Macaca fascicularis: one gene and its partners. The protein of the gene in region 1 binds, or shares a complex with, the protein of each later gene. Links are inferred from orthologs where the notes say so. Each region holds a gene or a part of one and is shown in the gene's direction. Other genes may lie near its edges. The genes, in order: CREBBP, IRF3 and PPARA.

What was found.
Region 2: the proteins of CREBBP (region 1) and IRF3 are in contact, whole or in part, in a crystal structure (PDB 5JEM), measured with the Homo sapiens proteins. The link is inferred for Macaca fascicularis from reciprocal best matches to the Homo sapiens genes CREBBP and IRF3. Residues at the interface, in NP_004371.2 of Homo sapiens: Leu2070, Thr2073, Leu2074, Lys2075, Ser2076, Ser2079, Gln2081, Gln2082, Gln2084, Gln2085, Val2086, Asn2088, Ile2089, Leu2090, Asn2093, Gln2095, Leu2096, Ala2099, Phe2100, Gln2103; in NP_001562.1 of Homo sapiens: Pro198, Gly199, Glu200, Glu201, Trp202, Glu203, Ser221, Leu322, Ile326, Leu329, Ile330, Thr333, Thr370, Cys371, Leu372, Ala374, Leu375, Glu377, Met378, Ala379, Val381, Gly382, Gly383, Ala384.
Region 3: the proteins of CREBBP (region 1) and PPARA are in contact, whole or in part, in a crystal structure (PDB 9IWL), measured with the Homo sapiens proteins. The link is inferred for Macaca fascicularis from reciprocal best matches to the Homo sapiens genes CREBBP and PPARA. Residues at the interface, in NP_004371.2 of Homo sapiens: Asp62, Ala63, Ala64, Lys66, His67, Lys68, Gln69, Leu70, Ser71, Leu73, Leu74, Arg75; in NP_001001928.1 of Homo sapiens: Val284, Thr285, Thr288, Glu289, Lys292, Phe297, Leu302, Asn303, Gln305, Val306, Thr307, Leu309, Lys310, His457, Pro458, Leu459, Glu462, Ile463.

The regions. Positions count from the first base shown.
Region 1 is NC_088394.1:4,554,082-4,564,970, reverse strand, and holds part of CREBBP (CREB-binding protein), read left to right. Parts: intron 1-51; coding exon 52-294; intron 295-1,659; coding exon 1,660-1,762; intron 1,763-2,086; coding exon 2,087-2,233; intron 2,234-4,112; coding exon 4,113-4,230; intron 4,231-4,725; coding exon 4,726-4,897; intron 4,898-5,250; coding exon 5,251-5,295; intron 5,296-8,650; coding exon 8,651-8,775; intron 8,776-9,412; coding exon 9,413-9,592; intron 9,593-10,889. UniProt on the Homo sapiens protein: Acetylates histones, giving a specific tag for transcriptional activation. Mediates acetylation of histone H3 at 'Lys-18' and 'Lys-27' (H3K18ac and H3K27ac, respectively).
Region 2 is NC_088393.1:57,629,067-57,638,721, reverse strand, and holds the end of IRF3 (interferon regulatory factor 3), read left to right. Parts: 5' UTR 1-17; intron 18-233; 5' UTR 234-241; coding exon 242-493; exon of another isoform or gene 494-577; coding exon of another isoform or gene 578-637; intron 638-1,418; coding exon 1,419-1,590; intron 1,591-1,674; coding exon 1,675-1,745; intron 1,746-2,308; coding exon 2,309-2,489; intron 2,490-2,585; coding exon 2,586-2,963; intron 2,964-4,425; coding exon 4,426-4,541; intron 4,542-5,980; coding exon 5,981-6,166; 3' UTR 6,167-6,246; downstream 6,247-9,655. Other genes in the region: SCAF1 (splicing factor, arginine/serine-rich 19), read right to left, coding at 7,419-7,610, 7,918-8,046.
Region 3 is NC_088384.1:5,387,916-5,398,804, reverse strand, and holds part of PPARA (peroxisome proliferator-activated receptor alpha), read left to right. Parts: intron 1-5,721; coding exon 5,722-5,968; intron 5,969-10,889. UniProt on the Homo sapiens protein: Ligand-activated transcription factor. Key regulator of lipid metabolism. Activated by the endogenous ligand 1-palmitoyl-2-oleoyl-sn-glycerol-3-phosphocholine (16:0/18:1-GPC). Activated by oleylethanolamide, a naturally occurring lipid that regulates satiety.

The DNA.
Region 1 (10,889 bases):
CTTCTCCCTTTTACTTACCTTTCTCGTTTGTCTGTCTGTTTGTCGTTATAGCCATCCTGGGGTCTCCAGCTAGTGGAATTCAAAACACAATTGGTTCTGTTGGCACAGGGCAACAGAATGCCACTTCTTTAAGTAACCCAAATCCCATAGACCCCAGCTCCATGCAGCGAGCCTATGCTGCTCTCGGACTCCCCTACATGAACCAGCCCCAGACGCAGCTGCAGCCTCAGGTTCCTGGCCAGCAACCAGCACAGCCTCAAACCCACCAGCAGATGAGGACTCTCAACCCCCTGGGTAGGTGAAGAAACTCTCAACTTCATTCTTACTTGTCCAAATATAGCAAAGGGAATGGAGTGATGGAACCCAAGGCAGTTTTCAGTTTGTTTTGTGTTTTTTACTACAGTGGTTGAAATAAAAATCTCCCAGTAAAAAGCTGAAGTGTCTAATGCAAGGAAAATGTTATATGCTTATAAAAAGAGCAGCATTTGCAAATGAAGCAATGTTTTTGTTGCTTGCTGTGCCACTTCTCTCTGGACAGTTTTCATAAAGAATGTGCCATGTGGCTCAGAATGCAGATCTCACAAGTCAGGATGCTGACTGGACCCCTCGTGCTGACTGTTGTCATTTATTTGATGGAGAACTTGCGTTTGCCACTTCCTCACACATCTTGGTTAGGGTCTACCCCACAGTTGGAAGTGACCAGCCTGGACTTCGGCAGGTTAATGACAGGAGCCCTGGAAACTCTTTTCCCAGGCTGCTGGACATGTCAGCATTTCTTTTGTCACCCCAGCCCATTATTTGCCCACCTTTGGTCATTTGCTCACACATACCCATGATTTTTGCCATTTCTGCATATGGTTTCCTTAATATTTTTCTTTAAGTGGACACAGTCCCTTTACATCTAGGCTTAAGCTAAGCAGTGATGTCTGTGAAGTCCAGACTGGCTGGCTGGCTGTGCTAGTTTTGTTCTTTTCCTAATAAAGTATTTTACGGTTAACAATTATTCCTTAAAATATGCCCAGCTAAAGTCATCTTATTTGTTGCTTTTTGGAAAACAACTGCCCCAGTGAATGTCTAACTAATAGTGGCCAGGAGACTGGGTTAGAGTCCTGAGACCCAAGTCTTAATCTAACTCCTCTCCTGTTGATGGTATAATTTAGGACAAACTTAACCTTTATTAATCTCGGCCTTCCTTTACTTTAATATGAAGATTGTAGACAAATTGACCTCTGTATTTTTTTCCTGAGCTTAATTTCTATGATTTTATTTTCTGATATTGGGGGTAGAGACACAGAGGTATATGTCAGTGCAGCTGAGTCACTCAGAAGTGATACTAATGAAGCAGAATGAAAGTCAGAGGCTGCATATGGATCATTTATAACTTTTTCACTTAGATACCAGCTAATCTCCATAAACACACCTTACTTTGGTTACCAAGTAGAGTGGGGAGGTGTCTACTGATTATTTGTGCACGTTGATTACCATTATTGAAAATATGACACTCGGGGTTCCTGCCTCAGTGCTTATTATAACTGACCAGAATCACTTATTTAAATAATCACCAATTGTTTATGTGATGACATGTTGGTTATCTGTCATCAAAACTTTGAAGTATATATTAAAATTTAAGAGTTGATTGATTTCTTTCTGTCTTTAAAGGAAATAATCCAATGAACATTCCAGCAGGAGGAATAACAACAGATCAGCAGCCCCCAAACTTGATTTCAGAATCAGCTCTTCCGACTTCCTTGGGGGCCACAAAGTAAGACCCTGTTTCAGTTCTGAGTGACAGTCCAACAAGAACGTGGACTGAGAACCACACAAAACTGATTCTTTCTAAATGTGTGGCAGAGAAAATAGTTTAAATGGGGTGGTGAGGGGTGAATGCTGTTTTCCTTTTTTTCTTTAATTGTAAGTGTAGAGCAGATAATAGATTAAACATAGTTTAAGTTTTATTTATATACATTACTTGGCTCTCCTGACTTAAACTTTTAGAAGTCACATGTGGTGGTAGAAGAACCTTATTAGACAAAGTATGTTTGAGTCGCTTCAGTAGATGGATGAAGTGTCCTTATTTCCTCCATAGCCCACTGATGAACGATGGCTCCAACTCTGGTAACATTGGAACCCTCAGCACTATACCAACAGCAGCTCCTCCTTCCAGCACTGGTGTAAGGAAAGGCTGGCACGAACATGTCACTCAGGACCTGCGGAGCCATCTAGTGCATAAACTGTACGTAACAGTTTTACAGTTTCATAGATGATTTTGTTCCTGTGTTGCCCATTGACTACCGGATGACAGTACCCTAGGATCCTATACAAGTCACGTGCTTATTTAGGGAGCCACTCTCACTGCTGGTAGAACTCTGGCAGCCCTAGGCAGGCCAGAGATTCCCGCACTTCATGTCCTCGGTGAGCGGGGGTGACAAAGAGAGCATTGGTGGCTCTATACTGCCGAGGGGCACTGACTTACAGCCCCTGTCACGGAGGCAAAGACCCTCAGTGCAGCCTGGCCTTAATGCTGCATGAGGCGGCTGGGGTTAGCTCAAGAACCTCACCTTATTTTGTAGTTCCAGATTCTAGTTGTGGAGACTCCTCAGAATTGGATGAGTTTATAGATGGCATGTCATTATCACCTTACAGTTAGTTAACATAACAAAGTTAAGTTAACTTTTTGGTTTTTTTGAAGACGGAGTCTCGCTCTGTACCCTAGACTGGAGTGCAGGGCGCAATCTTAGCTCACTGCAACCTCTGCCTCCCAGGTTCAAGCGATTCTCCTGCCTCAGCCTCCCGAGTAGCTGGGATTACAAGTGGGTGCTATCACCCCTAGCTAGTTTTTGTATTTTTAGTAGAGACAGGGTTTCACCATGTTGGCCAGGCTGGGCTCAAACTCCTGACCTCAAGTGATCTGCCCACCTTAGCCTCCCAAAGTGCTGGGATTATGAGCCACTGCGCCCGGCCTTTTTTTTTTTTTTTTTTTTTTTTCTTTCTTTCTTTCTTAGAGACAGAGTCTTGCCATGTTGTCCAGGCTGGTCTCAAACTCCTGGCCTCAAGTAATCCTCTTGCCTCGGCCTCCCAAAGTGCTGGGTGGCATGAGCCACCACACGAAGCCTAACTTTGTTGAGCTAGTTATTTTAAATGAACTAGACTTATATTCCCTGAGTTTTTTCCATTCCTTATTTTGATCAAATTTTTTTAGTAGTAAGTAGTTTAAAAATCAGGGATTTAAAAATCGTGTTATTCTGGAAATGACCCAGCACATACTTGTTAATAGCAAAATATTGATGTGTTTGATGTGTAGATAAGTTGGTAAGTCAGGATTGTCTCCAGGGAGTTACTTCATTCATATATTGATATGCTGGGCAAGAGAGGCTTGGCATTTCTCTCCACAGTGTATTGCCACCAGAGATACATGATCCTGATTTTGTAGTGCTCATTTGACAGCATTGGGAGTAGCTTCAGGCCAGGTGCAGCAGCCCCCACCTGTAATCCCAGTGCTTTGGGAGGCTGAGGCGGGAGGATTGCTTGAGCCCAGGAGTTCAGGCCAGCTGGGGCAACATAACAAAACTCCATCTGTACAGAAAATTTAAAAATTAACCAGGCATGGTAGTGTGCACCTGTACCTCCCTCCTTAATTGAGAGGCTGAGGTGGGAAGATCACTTGAGCCCAGGAGTTCAAGGTTGCAGTGAGCTATGATCATGCCACTGTACTCCAGGTTGGGTGACAGAGCGAGACCCCGTGTCTTTTTTTTTTTTTTTTTTTTTGAGACGGAGTCTCGCTCTATCTATTGCCCAGGCTGGAGTGCAATGGCACTCAGCTCACTGCAACATCTGCCTCCCGGGTTCAAGCAATTCTCTTGCCTCAGCCTCCCGAATAGCTGAGATTACAGGCACCCACCACGAGGCCCAGCTAATTTTTGTATTTTTAGTAGAGACAAGATTTCACCATGTTAGCCAGGCTGATCTCAAACTCCTGACCTCAGGTGATTCTCCTGCCTCAGCCTCCCAAAGGGCTGGGATTACAAGCATGAGCCAGCGTGCCTGGCCAAAACCCCATGTCTTTAAAAAAAGAAGAAAGGAAAAAAAAGTAGTTTGATGTGTTATCCTTTCAGCGTCCAAGCCATCTTCCCAACACCTGATCCCGCAGCTCTAAAGGATCGCCGCATGGAAAACCTGGTAGCCTATGCTAAGAAAGTGGAAGGGGACATGTACGAGTCTGCCAACAGCAGGGTAGGTTGCTGCTTATCGTGCTCTGGCCTCTACAGCATCTGTAGTAGACAGCACTGCATTTGTCTGCTTTGTTATCTAGAAATTGTGGAATCTGTGTAGTTGGGAGAAACTCCTCACCTTGAGGCCACTGGCCAAAGAGACTTCCCAGATAAGACACAAATTTCCTGCAGAACTCTCTTGGTTAGTTACATTGGTACATGGAATATATAAATTTACATTATGTCCATGGGATATATTTTTCACAGTAGGTGGTGGGTGTAATATTGCTAGCATCAGTGAATATTCAAAAGTTCATTGGTATGAAGTGGGCCGTGTATTTAGTACCTATTATTTGATATGTCCTATAAAGCTCCTGGTGCATCAAGTATTTATTTGCATACTTACTTTTGCCAGTGTACTCAATGAAGAAGTTCATTAGTTGGAACCTACAACACAGATCATTCAGTTGCTTTTTACAGTTTTAACTGTTTCATATTGAATATTGTTGCTTTTTAGGATGAATATTATCACTTATTAGCAGAGAAAATCTACAAGATACAAAAAGAACTAGAAGAAAAACGGAGGTCGCGTTTACATAAACAAGGCATCTTGGGGAACCAGCCAGCCTTACCAGCCCCGGGGACTCAGCCCCCTGTGATTCCACAGGCACAACCTGTGAGACCTCCAAGTAAGCATTTTATTTCCTTCTGCCATCCCTTAGCCTGTTTCCTTGGTTTTCCTTCGTGTTTGGGGTGTATTTCTAAGAACAGAGAATTAGAATCTCTGATGCGTGCACTGCGGAAACTGTTGATGTGGCAGTGGCCCTGACCACCTGCCTCAGGCTGTGTTGGGACACTGAGTTTCTCTCTTGGGAAGGCCCTTTACAGGGTCCGCTGGCATTGGAACACACGTGCCTTTGGACCTATTGGCTGTTTTCCCTTTTAAGTTTGAAGTCCTAATAAGACATTTCCTATTCCTGAATCAAGGATTATATTAAATAACTAGGGTGGTTTTGTTTTTGTTTTTGTTTTGCCGCCATAGATGGACCTCTGTCCCTGCCAGTGAATCGCATGCAAGTTTCTCAAGGTATTGAACTATTTGCTGTGAATCATATTTTAGTTTAACATTCAACAGCCATAACTTTCACTGTTTTTTTCCTCTCCCCCTGTGTATTTCTTTCTAGTCCTTTCTTCTTTCCATTCCTTTTTGCTGATGAGCAGAATTGTTCTACAGGTAGTATGGATCTGTTTATAGTATGAAATTTGGAGATTATAGGAAAGATCTTTCAAGAAATAAGAAGCAGTTTTTAGCTATTTATTTTATTTTATTTTTATTTTTATTTTTTTGAGGTGGAGTCTCGCTCTGTGGCCCAGGCTGGAGTGCAGTGACGTGATCTTGGATCACTGCAAGCCCTGCCTCCTGGGTTCACACCATTCTCCTGCCTTAGCCTCCCCAGCAGCTGGGACTACAGGCACCGGCCACCATGCCCGGCTAATTTTTTGTATTTTTAATAGAGATGGGGTTTCACTGTGTTAGACAGGATGGTCTTGATCTCCTGACCTTGTGATCCACCTGCCTCAGCCTCCCAAAGTGCTGGGATTACAGGCATGAGAGCCCCTGCACCCAGCCTTAGCTTTTTTTAAATTTTATTTTATTTTATTTTATTTTACTTATTTGTTTTGAGACAGAGTCTCACTCTGTTGCCCAGGCTGGAGTGCAGTGGTGCAATCTCGGCTCACTGCAAGCTCTGCCTCCTGGGTTCACGCTATTTTCCTGCCTCAGCCTCCCAAGTAGCTACAACTATAGGTGCCCACTACCACGTCCGGCTAATTTTTTGTATTTTTAGTAGAGACGGGGTTTCACTGTGTTAGCCAGGATGGTCTCGATCTCCTGACCTTGTGATCTGCCTGCCTCAGCCTCCCAAAGTGCTGGGATTGCAGTTGTGAGCCACTGCGCCCAGCCCAGCTTTTTATTTTTTTAATGGATGGTGAAGGGGCATGGTACATTAGTCTTAGGAAGAGTCTGAGAAAGAAGCACTCTAGATGTGGGGAGGGAGTGCTTCTCAGTGCTGAGAAGGAGAGGCATGCAAGACACTCCTAGACTGCTGAGCACTTGCACAGGCTGACATGGGGACGGCACGGGCTGCTCCTGGCCCTAGGGGTTAAGCCCAGCTGGCTGGATGTCAACTTCTGGAGAGTGTGTACACACAGGTCCTGTGCCAGGTTGGGGTGGCAGCAGCTGTCTCAACAACCTTGAAAGTTTCTTAAGTAGAGAGCCTATGGTTTTTGGTTGATTGAAGCAGTGATTTTTATTTCGGGGCAGGGAGCATTTGAAAACCCTGTAGCTCTTGACTATTGAGACCCAAGCAGGAGGACATTTTTCCAGATTGTGAAACAAGGTGGTGACATTATCCAGAAGACTCTGAGGAAAGAGGCTTTATTGTGGTTTGCAGAGTAGTTTGGGAGGGAAGGTAGAAGAGATCATTTTAAAAGTTGTATTCGGGCCAGGCGTGGTGGCTCACGCCTGTAATCCCAGCACTTTAGGAGGCCGAAACAGGCAGATCACGAGGTCAGGAGATCGAGACCACCCTGGCTAACACAGTGAAACCCCGTCTGTACTAAAAATACAAAAAAAAATTAGCCAGGTGTGGTGGCGGGCGCCTGTAGTCCCAGCTACTTGGGAGGCTGAGGCAGGAGAATGGCGTGAACCTGGGGGGCGGAGCTTGCAGTGAGCTGAGATCGCGCCACTGCACTTCAGCCTGGGCAACAGAGCGAGACTCCGTCTCAAAAAAAAAAAAAAGTTGTATTCATATTGCATCCTGGAAAAGACATGATAAGCTGATATTATGGAAAAATACTTATCAGGGACTTGTTTTGATGGACTAGATTTGAGGGTTGAAAGAAATCAAGGAGTCAGGCTAGGCACAGTGGCTCACACCTGTAATCCCAGCACTTTGGGAGGTCGAAGCAGGAGGATCACTTGAGGTCAGGAGTTCGAGACCAGCCTGGCCAACATGGTGAAACCCCATCTCTATTAAAAATACAAAAATTAGCCGATCATGGTGGTGCACATCTGTAATCCCAGCTACTCAGAAGGCTGAGGCAGGACAGTCACTTGAACCCAGAAGGCAGAGGCTGCAGTGAGTTGAGATTGCACCACTGCACTCCAGCCGGAGCAACAAGAGCGAAACCCCATCTCAAAAAAAAAAAAAAGAGAGAAAGAAATCAAGGAGTCAGAGAAATTGAGCCTTAGGAAAGTGGCTGGATGCTGTGTTGGGGATTGGTCCAGGACTTGGGCCTAAATAGGAGGATGCTGCTGGTGTGGGGTATGATGAGCATGCTGTTTACCAGCAGAATATTGAAATAGATGTTTTCTGGTTATGCACTTAGCATCCTCCCTACCAGCACATCTGGGTAAATACAGATTTGTTTAAATGCTGTTCCTTAGTAATTGTTTTTCATTTTGTTTAAAAAAATTCTCAAGGAGAGGGGAAGGTTACATTACAGACTCCCTGGAAAGTCTTCCTGGTCTGCACTGGCACTCAGTTATTTGAAGGTACCATTTCTGGGTAGTCGTTGAAGGTAGTGCTCCGTGAGAGAGTCATCCTTCGAGCCTTCTCATGACTACAGCACCGCTAAGGCAACACCTTCCAGAAATTCTCTCAGATTTTAGTGTTGGTCCTAAGACTTATTTGAACTGGTGCTTCTTTAGACTCAGAGTTTACAGAGTATTGTTATAAATTGGAAGGAACTAGACACCACAGTCTGGAGACACTTACTGGCTGTGAAGTGTCTTTCAGTGATGCGTTGCTCCTGTAAACTACAGGAGGCTGGGGTTGAGGATGGCTGACCCTTGGGCACTTCTTAATGCTTAAAGTGCTTGCAAAATTAAAAGAATGTTTGGAGTCTTAGCACAGATTCTAACAATGAATGTAAACCCAGCAGAGAGCTGGGAAGCCTCAGTTATGGGCGCCAGCTGCTCCAGAGGCATTAGGTATGGGTGTGCACAGAAGCTTGCCCTGGTCTCTGGAAACATCTCTTCTGTAGATTGTGGGGGTGCTGTCCTTTCAGGGCACCTCCTCACCCTCTTTGTTACTATGATACTTTGTTCGGTATTCTGTCCTCTGGCTCAGCTCTACCTCAGCCTCATTTAATGTCTCACTTACTTGTTCCTGTGTTACCCAACCTTATGCCTTCATGTCCTTGTCCTTCCCTCGAACCCCTCACCGTGCCACCCTCACCACCCCCACATTGATGCCATTTTCTCTGGATGTGGAGAAGTCTGTTCCTTCATCATCTTCATTGATTAATTGAGTGATTGCTTTTCAGTCTTCTGTTGCCTGTGTGTTCCATCTTATTTTACTTAGAGTTTATTTAGCAAGTTGTAATTCTGTTTTCCTGTGGGTGCTTTTCCTAATGAACCATTGTGGGTACATTTACAGGGATGAATTCGTTTAACCCCATGTCCTTGGGGAACGTCCAGTTGCCACAAGCACCCATGGGACCTCGTGCAGCCTCCCCAATGAACCACTCTGTCCAGATGAACAGCATGGGCTCAGTGCCAGGGGTAAGTGTTCTCTTTAGCTGTGCTGCAGATAGCCCTCCTCTCACATGGAACATTAAGCAGCAGAATTCATGTCACTTGGGAATCCCGTGGTTCTTTCTTTGAATTTGGGTTTTGCTTTATTTCTTTCATCTCTCCTTTAAAAATTATCTTCATTACTACACAGAATTATTTGACTGTTAGTTATTTTATTGGAATAACAAATTCATAGGAATGTGTGACTTTGTGAGAATGTGGCAGTTCCAAGGCTGGAGAAGGCAGCCTCAGATATGTGGCCAGCAGGGAATTGTCAGCATCTATTGACTGAGAGCTCGCTCTTCCGAGGCTGCTTTCTAAACACTTTAGAGAACTCATAGGCAGGCATGTGTTAAATTTTAAATTATAGTCTGCTATTGATTTCTATTCAGAGGACATTTTGAAGCTGGCTCATTTGAGAGATTGCCTGAGAAAGTGTGTAAAGTGCCCAGGAGCCTGGGAGTTCTTAGCAAGTGGGGATCTCTTCCCATGAGGAAGGGCAGGATGTGAGCCCTGTGCTTGGCATCCTCTGGGGTTGTGAGGCCTTGGATCATTCTGGCTCACCTTGAAAACTCTGGCTGTCAGCTTTGGAACTACAGTTCTGGTGGTGCTTGTTGTCTTGTAGATGGCCATTTCTCCTTCCCGAATGCCTCAGCCTCCAAACATGATGGGTGCACACAGCAACAACATGATGGCCCAGGCTCCTGCTCAGAGCCAGTTTCTGCCACAGAACCAGTTCCCGCCATCCAGCGGGGCGATGAGTGTGGGCATGGGGCAGCCGCCAGCCCAAACAGGCGTGTCACAGGTACTGTGCCCCACTGGGAACCGTGCTCCCTAAAAGATAAAATTCTCATTTTAAGGTGTTTTGTTTTGTTTTGTTTTTTCCTGTCTTCCTTTGTGGAAATTAAAATTCCACAATGCACATTTCATTTCTGTGTATCAGCATCTCTTTTATTTTCCCCACCTTTGTCTTGTAGTCCTTACCTTGTTTGGACTTTTTCTTATCCTCTCTGAGTTAACTATATGCAAAAGTAGTAATGGATTTACATTTTTTAGTTTGTATGCTTTTGTGTTTTGATCTTGGGGTTTTTGTTTTCCTATTTTTTGTTTGTGTATTTTAAATTCTGAGTTTAATGTGACTCTGAGAGACATAAGGATTTTGTTGTTGTTGTTGTTGAGACAGAGTCTCGCTCTGTCGCCCAGGCTAGACTGCAGTGGCCGGATCTCAGCTCACTGCAAGCTCCACCTCCCGGGTTTACGCCATTCTCCTGCCTCAGCCTCCCGAGTAGCTGGAACTACAGGCCCCCCCCACCTAGCCCGGCTAGTTTTTTGTATTTTTTAGTAGAGACGGGGTTTCACCGGGTTAGCCAGGATGGTCTCGATGTCCTGACCTCGTGATCCACCCGTCTTGGCCTCCCAAAGTGCTGGGATTACAGGCTTGAGCCACTGCGCCCGGCTGACATGAGGATTTTAAAAAGGGAGTGAGAAGGATCCGTGAATTCACTTTTGGTGATTCGGCTTTCGTATCTTTTGGCCTGTCCCCACTGCCAGGTGAAGTCAAGCTAATAGAATCATTTCAGTATTTCTCTTCTTGTTGAATGTTTTTAATTTCTCAATCTAGAGCTGAAGAAAATGATTTTCCATTTATTCCTTTTTTTTCCTCTTTTGTTGTAGTGCATATGATTGCTACTGTATACAAAATACACATGTATTTAAAACAGACCAAATCCTCCCTAAAAGATAAAATTCTTGTTTTAAGTTGGTGGTTTTGTTTTGTTTTGTTTGAGACTGCGTCTCACTCTGTTGTCCAGGCTGGTGCGATCTCAGCTCTGCAATCTCCACAGATTCAGAGCCGCAGGTTCAAGCGATTCTCCTGCCTAAGGCTGCCAAGTACCTGGGATTACAGACGCGCGCCACCACACCCAGCGTGTGTGTGTGTGTGTGTGTGTTTAGTAGAGATGGGTGTGTGTGTGTGTGTGTGTGTGTGTGTTTAGTAAAGATGGGGTTTCACCATGTTGGCCAGACTGATCTCAATCTGACATCAGGTAATCCACCCACCTCGGCCTCCCAAAGTGCTGGGATTACAGGCGTAAGCTGCTGCA
Region 2 (9,655 bases), on another chromosome or scaffold:
GAAGACACTGGGGAAGGGTATGCCATGGATATGGGAAGGAACCCTAGCGGATTAAGGAGCCTCTCGGGAAGATGGGAGGATGGGAAGAGGAGGTTTCCTGTTTGTACCCCCGAAAATATGGGTGAAGGACCTGTGCCGTGGCCCGTGAGAGGGAGGGTTCTGGGTGCGGAAACTCCAGGCCAGGTGGGTCCGGGGGAGGCCGGTCGCGCCCAGAAAATGCCCTATACGCGCAGGCCGGACCATGGGAACCCCAAAGCCACGGATCCTGCCCTGGCTGGTGTCGCAGCTGGACCTGGGGCAACTGGAGGGCGTGGCCTGGGTGAACGAGAGCCGCACGCGCTTCCGCATCCCTTGGAAGCACGGCCTACGGCAGGATGCACAGGAGGAGGATTTCAGAATCTTCCAGGTGCGTGAGACGACCGGGGACGCTGGAAACCCTGAGCTGCGCGCGGGGCAGAAAGGACTCCTAGCGGGCCGGGCTGAGACGGCGGAGGTATCGCCCGAGGGGCTGGCTCGTGCCAACGTTGGTGGGTGGGGCTAGAACGGGAGGGGCGGGGCTAGCCGGATCAGCTGACTGATGGTGGGACGCAAGCAGGGTTGGAGCTGCCCGGTTACGGCAATAAAACCGGGAAAGCCGGTTAGTACGCAAAGGAAATGAATCCTGGGGTTTTGGGGCTCTCTAGGGGCCGGGGCTCTTGGTTGTAGGATAGATACTGGGGGATGGTTTTTGAAACATCAGAGGTGAGACCTGGAGCCCCAAATCTGGGGTTCCTAACCACTGAATTAGTATATGCCAGAGGTGGTAAACAGTGTGAGGGGCGGGGTTATCACAGAGGGTGTCGCGGGGCAGGTGGTGCACGGGGTTAGACACCAAGTTGGACTTGGAAGCCTGGCTTAGAAAGAAGAGTTTTTTGGGCCGGGCGCCGTGGTTCACACCTGTAATCCCAGCACTTTGGGAGGCCGAGGCGGGCTATCACCTGAGGTCAGGAGTTTGACACCAGCCTGGCCAACATGGTGAAAATACAAAATCATTGGTGAAAATACAAAATTATCTACTAAAAATACAAAACTTAGCCAGGTGCGGTGGTGCCCGCCTGTAATGCCAGCTACTCAGGAGGCTGAGACAGGAGAATTGCTTGAACCAGGGAGGCGGAAGTTGCAGTGAGCTGAGATTGCGCCATTGCATTCCAGCCTGGGTGACAAGAGTGAAACTCCATCTCAAAAAGAAAAAAAGGCTTTTAAAAACTCGAGGTGGGGGATGGAGGTAGATAGGACGGGGGGATTTGGGGATGGAACTTGCAGACTTAGAACTTGCCAGGGAAAGAGGGTGGTGTTAGGATCCAGGAGACAGGGTTAGGGCCCCAGGAGCAGGATCTAAGTCGTCCTCCCCCACTATCCTGACACCACTGTTGCCCCAGGCCTGGGCCGAGGCCACTGGTGCGTACGTTCCCGGGAGGGATAAGCCAGACCTGCCAACCTGGAAGAGGAATTTCCGTTCTGCCCTCAACCGCAAAGATGGGTTGTGTTTAGCAGAGGACCGGAGCAAGGACCCTCACGACCCACATAAGATCTACGAGTTTGTGAACTCAGGTCTGCCAGATCGGGGTTCATGTGGGAGGCTGGGGTCCCAAGGGTTCCTGGCACCCCTACTCCCCTCACCACCTTTCTCAACAGGAGTTGGGGACTTTTCCCAGCCAGACTCCTCTCCGGACACCAATGGCGGAGGCAGTACTTCTGATACCCAGGTGAGAATGTGCCCAACCTTCATGCCCCTCAGTCTCTGTCGTGTCCCCATGGGCCTTGTCCTCTCCCTGTGGACCATCCCCCCGCTTCCCTGCCTCCAGCCTGCCCCTTACCTGAGCCAGTGGTGGCCCCGTCTGTTCCTGCTCCAGTCTCCTCAGGAGAAAATTCCGAGTTTTCACCCTGCATTCAAGGCCCTAGCACACCTTCCCAGGATTTCATGGACTTCGGCAGGGGGCTGTCAGCCTCTTGGGAACTGAAAACTCCCTCACCTTGATCCTGCTGAGGCCTGAGCTGGGGGAGCATCCCCTCTGAAATTCTACCCAGCCTGCCCCGCCCAGGTCTTACCTGCATAGAGCCAGATCCTTGGGTTGGAATGGTAGCACCTGGCGTTCATTAGAGTGTTTGGCTGTTGATGCCATGGCTGGCTCTGTCCCCATGCTGGAAGCCCCTTGAAGGCAGAGCTCAAGCCTCACCTCCCTGCATTGCTGAGAACAGACCTGGTCCATAGGAAGTCTCCAGAAAAGACTATGGAAATGCCTGATTCTCTTTCTTTGTTTCCCTCCAGGAAAACATTCTGGATGAGTTACTGGGTAACATGGTGTTGGCCCCACTGCCAGATCCAGGACCCCCAAGCCTGGCTGTAGCCCCTCAGCCCTTGCGGAGCCCCAGCTTGGACAGTCCCACTCCCTTCCCAAACCTGGAGCCCTCTGAGAACCCACTGAAGCGGCTGTTGGTGCCGGGGGAAGGTGAGTGTCAGCTGCAGGCTGGGAGGGCTGAGGTCTGGGCGGCAGCCCCTGATTCTCAATCTCTCTCCCCTTCACACGGCTGCTGCCACTGCTCAGAGTGGGAGTTCGAGGTGACAGCCTTCTACCGGGGCCGCCAAGTCTTCCAGCAGACCATCTCCTGCCCGGAGGGCCTGCGGCTGGTGGGGTCCGAAGTGGGAGACAGGACGCTGCCTGGATGGCCAATCACACTGCCAGACCCTGGCATGTCCCTGACAGACAGGGGAGTGATGAGCTACGTGAGGCACGTGCTGAGCTCCCTGGGTGGGGGACTGGCTCTGCGGCGGGCCGGGCAGCGGCTCTGGGCCCAGCGGCTGGGGCACTGCCACACATACTGGGCAGTGAGCGAGGAGCTGCTCAACAGCGGGCATGGGCCTGATGGCGAGGTCCCCAAGGACAAGGAAGGAGGCGTGTTCGACCTGGGGCCCTTCATTGTAGGTGAGTGAGATGGGGGCTTCGCCCTGCCCAGTAGAAAGCAGACTGCACAGTGGTTAAGAACTCAGGATTGGCCGGGCACGGTGGCTCACGCCTGTAGTCCCAGCACTTTGGGAGGCCGAGGCGGGCAGATGACGTGGTCTGGAGTTTGAGACCAGCCTGGCCAACATAGTGAAACCCCATCTCTACTAAAGATACAAACAAATAGTCGGGCATGGTGGCACACGCCTGTAATCCCAGCTACCCGGGAGGCTGAGGCAGGAGAATCACTTGAACCAGGGAGGGAGAGATTAAAGTGAGCCGAGATCGCACCACTACACTCTAGCCTGGTGACAGAGCCAGACTCTGTCTCAAACAACAACAACAAAAACTCAGGATTAGGACTGAATTCAGACCCTGGCTGCCCTTGGCCCACTGTATAACCCGAGGCAAAGGACTTTGCCCTGAGCCCGTGGAATCCGAGGACGGTCTCCTCTCTCTACCTGCCTGCCAGCACTGGGGTGAGACACAGGCCCAGTACACAGCATGCTCGGGGAATTAGCTGCCGCTGTCATCATTATCGTAACTAATGATGGTGGACAGACCAATAGCAGGAAAGCTATGTCCCTTAGGGTTTCGCTGTGCGGTGGCACTTTCTGCCATGATGGAAATGACAGTCACCTGCACTGTCCAGTGCAGCAGCCACTAGCCACAAGGGCCGAGCACTTGGGTGAGGCGAGTGCCACCAGGACACGATTCGTTTTTTTTGTTTGTTTGTTTTTTTTTTTTGAGACGGAGTCTCGCTGTGTCTCCCAGGCTGGAGTGCAGTGGTGTGATCTCAGCTCACTGCAAGCTCCGCCTCCCGGGTTCACGCCATTCTCCCGCCTCAGCCTCCCAAGTAGCTGAGACTACAGGCGCCCGCCACCACGCCCGGCTAGTTTTTTGTATTTTTAGTAGAGACGGGGTTTCACCGTGTTAGCCAGGATAGTCTTGATCTCCTGACCTCGTGATCCGCCCGTCTCAGCCTCCCAAAATGCTGGGATTACAGGCTTGAGCCACCGCGCCCGGCCTACGATTCGTTTTAATTGATTACAATTTAAACTGAAATGACCTCACATGACTAATGGCTGCAGTTGGACAGTGCGGCCTCAGAGGGGACTGAATGCCAACCAGCTTCTCCTCCAGATTCACTGGCATCCTTGGAAGCCTGGGCCCCCTACTCTGGGCCTGTTGTGAATGCTGAGGCTTGGGGGCTTGCGGGGGTGGGGGGCCTTCCAACAACCCCACCATGATGGGAGGGAGAGAGGGAAGGAGGAGGAAGTATACAAACAGAATCATGGGGACTTTCCCCAAACAAGCAGTCCTCTGGGCGAGGCAGCAGAGGGCCTTAGGTCAGGGGAAATGGTGGGGATTGCCATTCAAGTTTACGGGGAAGGGCGGGTAGAGGGTCCTCTTCTCATCACTGACTAGACTCCTGGGCCCCCAGATCTGATCACCTTCACAGAAGGAAGTGGACGCTCACCACGCTATGCCCTCTGGTTCTGTGTGGGGGAGTCATGGCCCCAGGACCAGCCATGGACCAAGAGGCTCGTGATGGTCAAGGTGCCTGCAGACCTGAGTCCCTGGGGCTGAGAGGGGTGGCCTTACAGAGGGAAGAGGTTGCTCCCAGGAACTCCAACTCCCAGAGGGCCCTCTAAAAAACTGCAACTTCCAAGATCTCTGCAATAACCAGTTTTTCATCCCCGGGAGCTCCTTCCCACGGCCTCACCTGCAGAACCTGCTTTGAACTCTCCAAACCAGTGGTCCCCAAGCTGTTCGGCACCAGGGACCAGTCTCACGAAAGATAATTTTTCCACAGACAGGGAGGGGGTGGTTTGGGGATGAAACTGCTCCACTGCAGATCATCAGGCATTAGATTCTCCTAAGGAGCAGCCTAGATCCCTCGCGTGTGCAGTTCACGATTAGTTCGTGCTCCTCTGAGAATCTAATGCTGCCGCTGATCTGACAGCAGGCAGAGCTCAGGCAGTAATATTCCCTCACCCGCTGCTCACATCCTGCTGGGCAACCTGATTCCTAACAGGCCGTGGGGGGTTGGGGACCTCTGCTCTAAACCATGTCGAAGCTGGTGGACTTCAAGTTTTAGCTGCCATTGTGAGGCCATGGCTGTGGCTCCCACGAGTTGAGATCACAGACTGCTCAGCCCTGACATCTGGGAATACTCTAGCCTCATATGCGTGTGTGTGTGTGTGTGTGTGTGTGTGTGTGTGTAGAGGGAAATCTACAACTCCCAGCAGCCCTGGGCCTATGGTTCATCCTGGGTTATAGCAGAGGCTGCAGGAAGGTGTGTGTGTTTGTGTGTGTGTGTTTCATCCTGGGTTACAGCAGAGGCTGCAGGAAGTTGTAGAGTGTGTGTGTGTGTGTGTGTGTGTGTGTGTGTGTGTGTGTGTGTGTTTCATCCTGGGTTACAGCGGGGGCTGCAGGGAGTTGTAGTTCTCCCAGCCCTGTGTGTGTGTGTATTTCATCCTGGGTTACAGCGGGGGCTGCAGGGACTTGTAGTTCTCCCAGCCGTGTGTGTGTGTGTGTGTGTGTGTTTCATCCTGGGTTACAGCGGGGGCTGCAGGGAGTTGTGTGTGTGTGTGTGTGATCCTGGGTTACAGCGGGGGCTGCAGGGAGTTGTAGTTCTCCCAGCCCTGTGTGTGTGTGTGTGTGTGTGTGTGTGTGTGTGTGTGTGTGTGTGTGTGTGTGTGTTTCATCCTGGGTTACAGCAGGGGCTGCAGGGACTTGTAGTTCTCCCAGCCGTGTGTGTGTGTGTGTGTGTGTGTGTGTGTGTGTGTGTGTGTGTGTTTCATCCTGGGTTACAGCAGGGGCTGCAGGGACTTGTAGTTCTCCCAGCCGTGTGTGTGTGTGTGTGTGTGTGTGTGTGTTTCATCCTGGGTTACAGCGGGGGCTGCAGGGACTTGTAGTTCTCCCAGCCCTGACTCCTACCTTGGTGGACACTGGCCGGGTGTTTTCCATGACTCCTGTCCCCACTTCCCCCGCAGGTTGTGCCCACGTGCCTCAGGGCCTTGGTAGAAATCGCCCGGGTAGGGGGTGCCTCCTCCCTGGAGAACACTGTGGACCTGCACATTTCCAACAGCCACCCACTGTCCCTCACCTCTGACCAGTACAAGGCCTACCTGCAGGACCTGGTGGAGGATATGGATTTCCAGGGTCCTGGGGAGACCTGAGCCCTCGCTCCTCATGGTGTGGCCTCTAACCTCCCCACCCCCCACCACCTCAACCAATAAACTGGTTCCTGCTATGATCACCTCTTGTGTGTGTCTGGTGTTGGGTGTCCTCTGACCCAAGCTGGTTGTTATTCCTGCTCAGGGTCTCAGTTTACCCATCTGTGCAGCTATGCACAACTCAGGTGCTCAATGCATGAGGACCAAGCACTGCAGGGGGCAGCTGACATTTCCTCACCTCTGCCCAGGGACCTGGTGGCTGATGGCTGCCCCCATTTTGTAGACCAAGACACAGGCTGGGAGAGGCACAAAGGTCACAGAGTAGGAAACACAAAGACTGGCCAGAACCCAGGTCCCTGCCTTGCCTATGAACAGTGTGGGCAAACGGCCCTTCTCCTTCCAGGCTCAGGCTCCCTCTACATGGGGCTGGAGGGGGCCTTGGTAAAAAGGCTCTGCGGCCACCCTAGAGCCTGCAAAGCCTGCCTGTCTGGTGACCCTGGGCACTGTCACCTCTCCTGGCTAGGCCTCAGTTCTGGGTGATGAAACTGGCAGAAGCCAGCGCAGCCCTGACTCACCCTTCGGCCCTTGCTGCTCTGTGCCTCAGTTTCCCTCTCGGGAGAGTGGATGAGATCACCCCAGCTTCACGGGGCTGCTGAAAAGAAAAGCCAACTCAATGGGGAACGCAGATCCTGCTCTGGGAGCAATTCCAAGGCAGGCACATGGCACGCAGGTGCCCTGAGCTGGGAGGATGCTGATCAGGTGGGGGCTGGCCCCGCCTCCCTGTGAGCAGCTGGCTCCCTGCCAGAGACTGTGCTAAGTGCTCCACCGGTGTCTTGTTCAATCCTCACAACACCACTATACAGATGAGAAAACTGAGGCTCAGGGGAGGCAGCTGCCCCAAGTCACAGTCTGGCTCCCTTTTCTCCCACCCTCAGCCTCCTAGGGGCCCCTCCTCAACCCTCTGGCAAATTTGTCTCTGAAAACAAAGGGTTAGAACCATGGGGCTCAGGGGTAATGTTTCATGAAATCTTTAATGAAATTGGGGAGAGGGGCACGAACAGAAGGGAGGGGCACTGGGGACAGGCTTGGGGGCAAGGGGGGTGGGCACGGGGCAGGGAAGGGCAGGGGGCTCTCCTCTTCCCTGCAGCAACCCTCCCCCAATCATCCCACTGATGGGGGAGGGAGGTGGGGAGGTGGAGCCATAAATATGTCCAGAATTTCAAAGAGGCGAGGGGCGAAGAGCTGGCCAGGGCTCTCAGAGAGGGGGCAGGGGCAGGCCCGGGCCACCCTTGTCCGGGGGCCCTGGCTCCTTGGGCGGCCGTGGGGGCCCTGGGGGGTCCCCTGGCTTGCGACCGTGCTTGCGGAAGTAGCGGTAGCGCTGGACGTAGGCCCGCACCAGGTTGCTCACCTTCACCGGGTTGATCTCCCCACTTTTGCTGTGGCAGATCTGGGGGGCCGGGGACAGCCGGAGTCACCACTAGGCTCCCGGAGTCCCATCCACCCGGGACTGCTGGGTGCAGCTTGGGACTGGGGTAGGAGCAGCTTCCCCAATAACCAGGCCAAAGTTCCTCTGTCCCCCTAGATGATGGGTGCCCCAGGGCCAGCGGAACAAGCCCAGGTGGCCTTGAGAAAATCCCATCACCCTCCCAGACTGACCTCCCCGTCTCCCATCCGCGTCCATCTGTCTGTACACATCTGGCCCTCCAGTTCGTCCTCTCCCCGGCCTGTGTCTGCCCCTCTCTCTGGGTGCCCACCTTGTGGACGGCCTTCCTCAGGATGTCCTTGTACTCCTCCTTGGTGATGTCCTTCTTCTGATAGTATGGCTTGATGGCCAGCTTCACCTCCTCCACCGCCCGCTCCTGTGTGTGCAGCTTCTTCAGATACTGGTGGGGTGGCGACAGCGGGGGAAGAGACAGCAAGGGCCAGTGAGTACCTGCAGAACCTCCACCTCCACTCGCCTCTGCTGCCAGCCTAGCCTCTCGGACAGTCTGGCTGCTCTCAGGCTGGAAGTCCTGCTGAGGGTCTGTCCCATGCACCCTCTGCTGCAGGTGCCTGGGACCAAAGGCCAGGCCTGTGCTCTGCATGTCACTGAACATCTCCTCTAGGCTGAACCCTGGGCTGCTCCAGGCCTGGCCAGGACCAGGAGACATGCGTTGCCTGCCCTCACAAAGTTCGGTCTGATGAGAAGACAGGCATTGGCCAAGCAATTGCAGCTGGTTTTGAATCAGACTCTACAGACAGGGCTGTAGAAAGCTGCACAGGGCTTTTCACCGTGGAAAGGGGGAGGACTCAGTTTAAAAGGTTTTTACAATACTGCTCTGGTCACCAAGGGGATGGAGGCGCACTGAGGAGTGGGGGTGGGGACTGACCTCAAGCCCATTGTATCGGAAGCCTGGTCTGCCACTCCCTGTCTCTGACCCCTGGGATGCTCAGCCAAACCTCCTTTTTGTGGCTTTTTCTTTGTTTTTGAGATAGGGTCTCTCCCTGTCACACAGGCTGTAGTGCAGTGACACAGTCACTGCTCACTGTACCCCTGGACTCCTGGGCTGAAGCAATCTTCCCACCTCAGCCTCCTGAGTAGCTGGGACTAGAGGTGCCACCACCACGCCCGACTAATTCTTGTACTTTTTCTGGCGACGGTCTTACTATGTTGCCCAAGCGGATCTTGAACTCCTGGGCTACAGCGATCCACCCGCCTCGGCCTTGCAAAGTGTTGGAATTACAGGCACGAGCCACCGCGCCTGGCCACCTTTGTGGCTTATTTATAAAATGCGGACAGCACCTATGGGGAGGACTACAGTGACACACATGAAGGACATGGCACAGGCCAGGTACAGAGCAAAGACTCAATCCAGGGGAGCTGTGCCTGTTCCAAGGGGGATGGCCGTGGGACGAAAAGGGAAGGACAGAACAGTGGGCAGGGCAAAGAGCCTCCGAGACAAGGCTCTTCCCGCCTGTGGCCAACAAGCGAGGAGATCCCCCAGCCACAGGCTCGGGGCAGCAGTTGCATCCCTGGCCTCAGGCGGAATCTTTGCAAAAGCAGACAGGAAACCTCTAGCCAGAGAGCCACATGGGACCAGAGAAGAACCGACCTTCTGCAGGCACAAGGGATAGTCCCTTGCCACCGCCCTTGGGGAAACTGCCCTCCCAAGTCAGGTGACTATCAAAGTAGGGGCAGGTAAACCTGAGTCCTGGAAATGGCAGGGCACAATGGCTAGCAGACTCCGGAAGCAACATCAGTGACACTGTCTGACGAGCTACTGAGCTGTTAGGGCAACTCTATGGCCAGGAGAGACACAGGCCGCCCTGGAGGGACTTCTCAGGCTTGCCTGGCCCCACAGGATGTGGGTCTCTAGAGAGACGCTGCTCCCAAACACCCATCTCGGATGTGGTAAAGCAAGGCAAAGGGCCGCTGTAGACCAGGGGGTCCTCACCGTCCGCGACCTGTAGCACAAGGCACAAGCTACAGACAAGTGATGGGCTAAGCTGCAG
Region 3 (10,889 bases), on another chromosome or scaffold:
GCTGTGGGAATCTAGAGGTGAAAGGGTTTCATGAAAGAGGAGCTTCTTCTCCCATTTATAACTCATTTTAGCCTAATCTTCCAAACAGTCATGCATCTAAGAGCTGGTGATACAGAAAATACCTTGGTGTTAGTTATGAGTTACTGTTAGAATCCTTCCAGTGTTTGCACCTGTCCTGTGCTCAGGTAACATAAAACAGTGATATAATTTGATGTCTACTTCTTCTTGTATTTGTCTATTTTTAAATGTTCTACAATTTTCATATACTCTGTTTCATAGTTCTCAAAGGAATATTTTGATTGATAAATGTTTAGTTAGTAAGACCTAAAAATAGAATCTCAGTAGTTGGAGCTTATGATATATACAAGATGCAGCTCTAACATTTAAATTGGAAGGGAAATATCCAAAAGATATCTGCCCTCCTATGTTTGTTGCAACACTGTTTACAATAGCTAAGATTTGGAAGCAACCTAAGTGTCCATCACCAGACAAATAGATAAAGAAAATGTGATATATATACACAATGTGGTACTATTCAGCCGTAAAAACGAGTGAGATCCTGTCATTTACAACAATATGGGTGGAACTGGAGATCATTATGTTCAGTGAAATAAGCCAGGCACAGAAAGACAAACTTCACATGTTCTCACTTATTTGTGGGCTCTAAAAATCAAATCGGTCCAGGGGCTGGAAAGGGTGGTGAGGGGTTAGGGGGCAGTGAAGATGGTATGAAAAATAGGTAATAGGTATGAAAAACTAGAAAGAATGAATAAGACCCACTAGGTTTTTGTTGTTGTTGTTGTTGTTTTGAGAGAGAGTCTCACTCTGTCGCCCAGGTTGGAGCACAGTGGCATGATCTCGGTTCACTGCAACCTCCGCCTCCTGGGTTCAAGTGATTCTCCTGCCTCAGCCTCTCGAATAGCTGGGATTATAGGCACGCGCCACCATACCCGGCTAATGTTTGTATTTTTAGTAGAGACCGGGTTTCACCATGTTGACCAGACTGGTCTCGAACTCCTGACCTCAAGTGATCCACCTGCCTTGGCCTCCCAAAGTGTTCAGATTACAGGCATGAGCCACTGTGCCTGGCCACTATTTGATAGCATAATAAGGTGACTATAGTCAATAATAACTTAATTGTATATTTTTAAATAAAAAGTGTAATTGGATTGTTTGTAACTGAAAGGATCAATGCCTGAGGGCACGGCTACCCCATTCCCCATGACGTGCTTAGTTCACATTACATGCCTATACTAAAACATCTCATGTACCCCATACATATATACACCTAGTATGTACCACAAATATTTTAAATAGTTTTTAAAATAAAAAATAAATTGTAAGGGAAAGAAAATTATGAATTTAGAAATGTAAAAGGTCTCAGGTAAGGAAGGCATGAGAGGATCAGGCAGAACCTTCCATCATTGCTGGGACGAGAAGAGAAGCCCTACCTTTTCCCAACACCCTATCCACTCCACCTGTCCCTCACCCCTCAGCTTATGTGAGACTCTATCTGTGCTATGAAACTGAAGATCTAATTCAGTGCTGTTTGCATTGTCTTGCCTCCTGGACCAGGGTTTGCAGTTGTTGAGAAAAGAGATGGTTGGTTATGTCTTGATCCCCCGCCCCCGCCTCCCCTTGAGCATTTGGGGCACAGGACACAGGAACCGGCCAGCCTGGTTCACTCTTGTAGATGAGCTGGGCAGTGGCCTGTCATGTGGGTAATAGGAAGGGGTGGGGACTTCCCCGGGATATTCTGCTCCTGATCAGAAGCTCCAGTGGTGTCGGAGGAGCATGCTGGGAGGGTGTGCAGGGTGGGGCAGGTGCCCGTTTGGCCTCTGCTATCTATCTGGGGAGTTTGGCCTCTGCTATCTATCTGGGGAATGCATCCAAACGCAACTGTTCCTTATCTGCTCTTGTTGGGAGCAAGGAAGGGCCAATTTGTTCAATGATCTGTACAAAGCCAGTCCCTCTGGCCAGAGTTGCTTCACTCTATATAGAGATTGTACCTTGGTTAGCTCTTCATTCATGGCAAGACCAGTGTTTCTCTAAATTAATCCCAGGTATTGTTTAAAAGCAACTAAAAATGACGAAATTGTGAAACTTTGAAACTCCCTGAATGTAATGACAAGGAAACTAACATTGTTATATTGGTTGATGCTCCTGGCCAGAAGAGAGAATATTAGCAGGGATAAAAGGGATAGGCCACACGCATTTTCCACCCCAGTGCTGAGAACACGATGGGGGAAAAAGGGAGGTGGCCACAGCCCACACAGTCTCTGCCAAGCTACTTTCTTTTTTTTTTTTTTTGAGACAGAGTCTTGCTCTGTCACCCAGGCTGGAGTGCAAAAGTGTGATCTCAGCTCATTGCAACCTCCACCTCCCAGGTTCAAGCGATTCTCCTGCCTCAGCCTCCAGAGTAGCTGGGATTACAGGCACCTGCCACCAAGCGCAGCTAATTTGTTTGTATTTTTAGTAGAGATGGGGTTTCACCATGTTGGCCAGGCTGGTTTCAAACTCCTGACCTTAAGTGATCTGCCCACCTCAGCCTTCCAAAGTGCTGGGATTACAGGCATGAGCCACCATGCCCAGCCCCAGCTACTTTCTTTCTATTGGAATGAACTTCATGGTTAATAGTCAGTTAGTGACTGCAACTTTTGAACTTTTTGTTCATAGTGAAAAACATTTTAAGTAATGCTTACCCCATTATGTTTCTTGCCATTTGAAAAAAAAATCTCCCTTCAGACAGAATGCAGAATAAAATACGACAGAAAATCTGTACAGATTCACAACCTGATTTAAGTTAATAGGTTATAGAGAAAGAAAGTCTTCTAAACCCTATGAAAGGTTAACAGTTCTCTGTTATTTTTCCCTGTGTGCTATTTGATGATTTCCCTGTGAACTCTGATGATTTATTGCCAGAATTCCAAACATAAGATGTGAATTTCACAAAAATGGATGAAAGGTATCTATTTTTCATTGGTAGAGGAAGCCAAAGCATCCCTTCTTCACCGCACTAAAAGCTGTTGTTTACATTAAGCAAACCTCAGATGTGAACGTATTTTTACGCAAATGCATTTAATGGATTAATATTGTCTTTGGGACAGTATTCTTCACTCCATCTGGAGAGTCTGGCGTTCCGTAATCACCATGTGATGACGGCTGCCCTGACAGTGGCTGGTGGCAGCACATGCCCCCTGAGCCTCTCCGTGATGTGATCTGTGGGCATCATGTGACCATTTTCAGAAGGGAAGATAGTTCTGGAAGCTAAAGGTCACCTAGTCAGCCTCGTTGGGCGATTGATGACTCAGCTGGGTTCAGGGAGGTGGACCCAAGGCAGAGCCTCTACAAGGCAGTGGTGGGCAGGGCGGTTCAGGCAGGTGGCACCTGGGCAAAGGTGCAGACGTGAAATCCTGAAAGCAATTCTCGGTGCTGCTGGGTTTCCAGGAGGTAGAAGAATGGTGACAAGTGCACCATCAGGTAGGGACAGATATGGAAGGGCTGGAACAGTGTGCTCAGGAGACTGAGCTTCAATCTGGAGGTCCCAGGAAGTGGTTTAAGATGTTTCAGCGAGAGCATGATACAGACCAACCTGGGAAGAACCGCTGCTTTGTCACTGTACCCCTATGGAAATGCTGTTCGCTTTGCTAGTTGAAACAGCCCACTATTGTCTGAGACTCACCCAGTTAGATTTATTTGGACTCCACAAAGTATTCTTGACCATACCATCACAATCGAGGACCCCCTGCATGAGCTGCCTTCATGGCTACAGGGAGAGCACACCCAAGTGGATGTCACACCCAGCACACATGCCACCGGCTTGGCCCTGCTCCCTGCGCCCCATGGGCAGCCTGAGCCACACTGGCTGCCTGTTGTTCCTGGAGTGTGCCAGCATGTTTCAATCCTGGCTGGAGCCTTTGCACTTGGTGTTCTCTTTGCTGGAACATTCTCCCCCAAGACATTTACACAGCTTGCCCCCTCATTCCCTGAGGTTATCTCCTGCCCCCTAATCAGTGTGAACTTCCCTGGCCTCACCCCGGACACTCCACATGTGCATTCATTTCTTTGTTCACCGTCTGTGTCCCAGTTACAAGGGAGGCTCCCTGAGAGCAGGGATCTGGTTTTTGTTTGTTGTTGTTGTCGTCGTCGTTTTGAGGTGGAGTCTCACTCTGTCGCCCAGGCTGGAGTGCAGTGGTGCAATCTCAGCTCACCGCAACCTCCACCTCCCATGTTCAAGGGATTCTCCTGCCTCAGCCTCCTGAGTAGCTGGAATTACAGGCACCCGCCACCAAGTCGGGCTAATTTTTGTATTTTTAGTAGAGATGGGGTTTCTTTTTTTTTTTTTTTTTTTGAGACGGAGTCTCGCTCTGTCGCCCAGGCTGGAGTGCAGTGGCCGGATCTCAGCTCACTGCAAGCTCCGCCTCCGGGTTCGGGCCATTCTCCTGTCTCAGCCTCCTGAGTAGCTGGGACTACAGGCGCCCGCCACCTCGCCCGGCTAGTTTTTTTTGTATTTTTTAGTAGAGACGGGGTTTCACCGTGTTAGCCAGGATGGTCTCGATCTCCTGACCTAGTGATCCGCCCGTGTCGGCCTCCCAAAGTGCTGGGATTACAGGCTTGAGCCACCGTGCCTGGCGAGATGGGGTTTCATTGTGTTGGTCAGGCTGCTCTCCAACTCCTGACCTCGTGATCCGCCTGCCTCGGCCTCCCAAAGTGCTGGGATTACAGGCATGAGCCACCGCACCCGGCCCTGTTTTTTTTTTTTTTTTTTTTTTTTTTTTGTTTATTGGTTTGTTTGTTTTTGAGACACAGTCTCACTCTGTTGTCCAGGCTAGAGTGTGATGGCACGATCTTGGCTCACTGCAACCTCCACCTCCCAGGTTCAAGCGATTCTCCTGCCTCAGCCTCCTGAGTAGCTGGAATTACAGGCGCCTGCCACCACACCTAGCTAATTTTTGTATTTTTAGTAGAGACGGGCTTTCGCCATGTTGGCCAGGCTGGTCTCAAACTCCTGACCTCAAGTGATCCACCCGCCTTGGCCTTCCAAAGTGCTGGGATTACAGGCGCGAGCCACTGTGCCCAGCCCAGGGATCTGTGTCTCCGCTGTGTCCCCAGCACCTCAAACACATTGTATGGAGCTCCGCACAGCTGCTGAGTCAGTGATGGCTGAGTGAGTCCTGGCCCTCGGTCTGCGGCTCCTACAACATTTTGTTTAAAGGTTTTCACTTTCACAGCGTGCTGATCAATAGCCAAGCCCAGAGGAGAGGCTCAGCACTGTTCCTGTTTAGATGATGAATTCAGGCGTATCTTCGATGATAAATGATGTTGCATTTCAAAACAAGCAAGTGGCCAGGCGCAGTGGCTCACACCTCTAATCAAAGCACTTTAGAAGGCCAAGGCAGGCGGATCACCTGACGTCAGAAGTTCGAGACCAGCCTGGCCAATGTGGTGAAAGCCCATCTCTACTAATAATACAAAAAAATTAGCCAGGCGTGCTGGCGGGCTCCTGTAGTCCCAGCCACTCAGGAGGCTGAGGCAGGAGAATGGCATGAACCCAGGAGGTGGAGCTTGCAGTGAGCCAAGATTGCACCACTGCACTCCAGCCTGGGCGACAGAGCGAGACTCCGCCAAACAATCAATCAATCAATCAATCAATCAATCAAACAAACAAGTGAATGTTGTTATACGTCAACCTTATCAATTGTTCCTCTTTCCTCCCGGTAGCTTGGAGCTCGGCTGCGCAACCAACACCATCCAGTCACGATGGTGGACACAGAAAGCCCGCTCTGCCCCCTCTCCCCACTCGAGGCTGGCGATCTAGAGAGCCCGTTATCTGAAGAATTCCTGCAAGAAATGGGAAACATCCAAGAGATTTCGCAATCCATCGGCGAGGATAGTTCTGGAAGCTTCGGTTTTACAGAATACCAGTATTTAGGAAGCTGTCCTGGCTCAGATGGCTCGGTCATCACGGGTAAGTGTGCTGTTTCCTAGAAAGTTTTATTTAGAAATGTTTCTTCCTAAAGAAAGCTGTTCTTTTTAGCTGGAAAATAAGTCACACTTTTTTGCAAGGAAACCTTCAGAGGTGGTAAGGCATCACCTCCAGTGCCACTGGGCCTTGGAAGGCACGTGTCACGGCTCACGGTGCAACCTCTTGTGAAAACCATGCATGCATCAAACAATGCTTGAGATTCAGTCACGGGGAGCAGCTAAAGTACACAGACCCTAACCCCAGCAAGCCCACGGGGGACAGCTAGACATTTTTAAGAGGAGACGTGTGCAAGGGTCTGCATGGAGGCACTGTTGGTAAGAGGGAAGGATGGGAAACAAGCTGGACGTGCGTCAAAGGGAAACAGATAAATTGGGATGCGTTTATACAGTGGCATACTTCATAGCAATTTAAAAGAACAGACTACGCCAGGCGTGGTGGCTCACGCCTATAATCCCAGCACTTTGGAAGGCTGAGGCAGGTGGATCACTTGAGGTCAGGAGTTCGAGACCAGCCTAACCAACATGGTGAGGCCCCATCTATACAAAAACATTTTTTAATAAAAAAAAAATTAGCCAGGCATGGTGGCGCATGCCTGTGGTCCTAGCTACTCAGGATGCTGAGGCAGGAGGACCATTTGAGCCCAGGAGCTCGAGGCTGCCATGAGCTATGATTGCCACTACACTCCAGCCTGGGTGACAGTGAGACCCTGTCTTTAAAACAAACAAACAAAAAAATTAAGAAACATCAAATGAAAATAAACAAGCTTAATGATATATTTAAGATCCAATTAATGTAAAATCTTTTATTTACTTTTTTTATTTTTTGAGACAGAGTTTTGCTCTTGTTGCCCAGGCTGGAGTGCAGTGGTATGATCTCAGCCCACCCGCAACCTCCATCTCCCGGGTTCAAGCAGTTCTTCTGCCTCAGCCTCCCTAGTAGCTGGGATTACAGGTGTCTGTCACCACACCTGGCTAATTTTTGTATTTTTAGTAGAGATGGGGTTTCACCATGTTGGCCAGGCTGGTCTCAAACTCCTGACCTCAGGTGGTCCGCCCGCCTCAGCCTCCCAAAGTGCAGGAATTACAGGCCTGAGCCACCGCATCTGGCCCACGTAAAATCTTTAACACTAAACAATCTAGTACATCACTGTTGGAAACAGACATACATATATTGCAAGCTTTAAGGACTCAGTCGCCTCCTGAACGAGACGGAGGGAGAATTGGGGAGGGCTCCCTTGGGGACTCCAATTCTCTCTAGGTTGTATATTTGATAAACCTGGGTGGTGTGTACATGGGTATTACAGTCATGTTGCTTAATGACAGGGACAGGTTGTGAGAAATGCATCCTTAGCGATTTCATCATTGTGTGAAAGTCATAGAGTACACTTAAACAAACCCAGATGGAACAGCCTGCTGCACACCGAGGCTCTGCAGTGCAGCCTGTTGTTCCCAGGCCACACAACTGTACAGCGTGTTACTGTACTGAATAGCATAGGCCCCTGTGACACAGTGGTAAGTATTTGTGTGTCTACACATACCAAAACATATAATAGAAAAGGTTACAGCAAAAATACAGTATTATCATCTTATGGGACCATGATACCACAGTTGAACTTACGGTCTGTTGTTGACCAAATGTCACTGTGTAGTGCGTGACTATACAGAAATAAGCTCAAAGAAATTAAGTAACTTGGCTGGGCGTGGTGGCTCATGCCTGTAATCCCAGCACTTTGGGAGACTGAGGCGGGCAGATCACCTGAGGTCAGGAGTTCAAAACCGGTCTAACCAACATGGCGAAACACCGTCTCTACTAAAGAATACAAAAAATTACCCAGGTGTGGTGGCGGGCACCTGTAATCCCAGCTACTCTTCTCAGGAGGCTGAGGCAGGAGAATCGTTTGAACCCAGGTGGCAGAGGTTGCAGTGAGCGGAGATCATACCACTGCATTCTAGCTTTGGCCACAGAGTGAGACTCCGTCTTAAAAAAAAACAAAAAAGTCCAGGTGTGGTGGCTCACACCTGTAATCCCAGCACTTTGGGAGGCCGAGGCAGGCAGATCACTTGAGGTCAGGAGTTAAAGACCAGTCTGGCCAACACGGTGAAACCCCATCTCTACTGAAAATATAAAAATTAGCCAGGCGTGGTGGTGTACACCTGTAATGCCTGGGCAACAGAGCAAGACGCCGTCTCAAAAAAAAAAAAAACAAAAAAACAAGGCAAATTGAGTAACTTGCCACTGTTCATACAGCCAGAAAGACACAGCGCCCGGGCCTGGACCCTGCCTCTCAGCTGGCTCTAGAGGGCTGTTCTCTGCATGCTGGCGTGATCGTGCCTTGTAAAAGGTGGCAGTGTTCTCAGCTTAGTCAATCAGGAATTGCAAGAGGCTAGTGAGCCCTTGAGGACTCTGGGGGGCCTTTGTGAGTGAGCAGCTTTGGGAGTGACCCTGGCAGATCTTTACAGATGGTGCAAGTTTTGACTCCCTTTCTTCTGGCGCATTAAGCAGAGGATAAGCACTGTGGAGAGAGTGAAGGTTTAGGGAGATGATGGCCCCCAGAGCAGTGCAGGAGGGGACAGGGAGGCTGGAGGAGAGCAAGGAAAAGGCTCCGCATCAGGTGGCGCCTTGAGTGGCCTGGGTAGGTTGCTTGCAGCAAACCCAGGTTAATGGCTTTGACAATGACCGCCATTGCTTCCTGAGCACTGCAGGCTGCCCACACACCTCTCACCTCGGCTTGCCTAAGCCCAAGAGCAGCCTTGTGAGGTCATTGCTATGTTTATTTAAGGAAGGAGGAAAGCAGGCAGGCCCCAGGACATCCTGACTGGCCGGAGATCACCAGCCCAGAACCCAGCCCTTAACCCCACAATGTGCGACCTTTCTTCACCCATCACAGACACACCCCATGCTGGTTCACTGTTCACTGACTATTTGTGCTATTTATCAGAAAAACTTTTTCTTTATGGGTTTGAAAAGATTTATTTTGCTTTTGTTTGTTTTTCTTTTTTGCCTTTCTTTTTTAAGGAAGGCAGGCTCCCCCAGCCCCACCCCCAGGGTGAAAAATATAGTTCATTGTCTAGTAAAAGAGTTCAAAGATACGCTTTTTTCTCTGGATAAAATATACTCTAGAGCTTGTTCTGAAATATGGAATTAGTGTGAGCTGCGGGAGTGGGTGGGTGTGTGGCTCTAGCTCTGGAAAGTTCTTTCCCGGCAGTGGCTAGGAGGGCTGCCCAGCCCCCTCTCGCCTCCCCCAGCAGCTTAAACACAGGACCCCTTATTCTGTGCTCTCTTCTGACCCCTGGTCCTCATGCAGGAGGGAACCCTGTTCTTCTAATTAGATGCAGGGATCCTTTTTCTAAGAGTAGCGTATTTTAGGTCATTGTTAAGAGTTATAATCTAAAACGTATTTTTAACTCATCTGAAAGTTCTGACAGAGGTAAGGCTTGAGAATTTCCTGCATACTAGCCTTGTGGTCTGTATAATCCATTAAAAGCCACATTTAGCCCAATTCCACAGACTGAACTGTGCTTCCTACCTAAATAAAGAGCAGGTGGGGCACGGTGGTCACTCCTGTAATCCCAGCACTTTGGGAGGTCAAGGCGGGTGGATCACCTGAGGTCAGGAGTTTAGACCAACCTGGCCAACATGGTGAAACCTCATCTCTACTAAAAATGCAAAAAAATTACCTGGGCATGGAGGCATGTACCTCTTAAGCTTAAGGACATATTTCTTATGATCCAATTAATATAAAATATTTTATTTTATTTTATTTTTTTATATTTTGAGACAGAGTTTCACTCTTGTTGCCCAGGCTGGAGTGCAGTGGTGCAATCTCGGTCTGTCATCCCAACTACTCTGGAGGCTGAGGCAGCAGAGTCACTTGAACCCGGGAGGCGGAGATTGCAGTGAGCCAAGATCACACCACTGCACTCCAGCCTGGGCAACAGAGTGAGACTCCGTTTTTAAATAAATAAATAAATAACAAGGGTTCAGGGGAGGAGAGAGAGGGTTCCAAATTTGTTTTGAACCAATTCCAAGGAACTTTATGGCAAAAAGAAAAAAAAGGAGAACTTATAAAAAGTGACCACACTGAATTGTCCTGGACACACATCCCTGGTTTTGACCACTAGCCTTTGAAGTAGCGAGTGGGGTGATAACCCGTTTTTATTTCCCTCCCAGCATTTCCTCGCTCTTATTCATACATGTGGTCATTTGTACTCATCTCACAATCCTTAAAACCTCTTTGCTTCTTTCCGGGTTTTACTGTACTGTTACTGCGAAGTCTGAGAGATGAGGTTATTTAAGATTATTTCTTATTTGTAAATTAGATCTTTCATCTTTGTATCTAATCTGCTCTTTTGGGTAATATTCCTAGTTAGGTAGACTGGTCTTTCAGAAGGGCTGAATATTAAATGCACTTACTTTAAACTTTACACCCAGGAGACCGGATGGGTGAGGCTGGTTCACTCAGCCAACGTACTTTTTTACCCCTGGTTTTTCTTCCCGGCTTTATTGCCATAATTGACATACAATAAACTGCACATCCTTAAAGGTTACAGTCTGATACGTGTACATGCACATGCACCTGTGAAACCATCATCACACTCAAAATCGTGATGCAGAATTTTTGCTCCTTAGTTCAACTAAATCTGGGTTCTCGTGTCATGACCAGGAAAAATTAGGCACGTGGACACATAGAAGGGTGAGGAGAGCAGTATTGGGTGAAAAGGAAAAAAGAGAAAAACTCTCAGCAAAGCTAGAGGGGATCCTGCCAGTGGGTTCCCAGCTCACAGACTGATAACCAGGCCACCACACATGAGCTGGAGGCCAGGCTCCTCCCCAATGCGCAAGGTGAGAACTTCCCGTGGCTCCACCCCGTTCTCCCAGTGCCCAGCTGGGTCCCCGTCCCTTG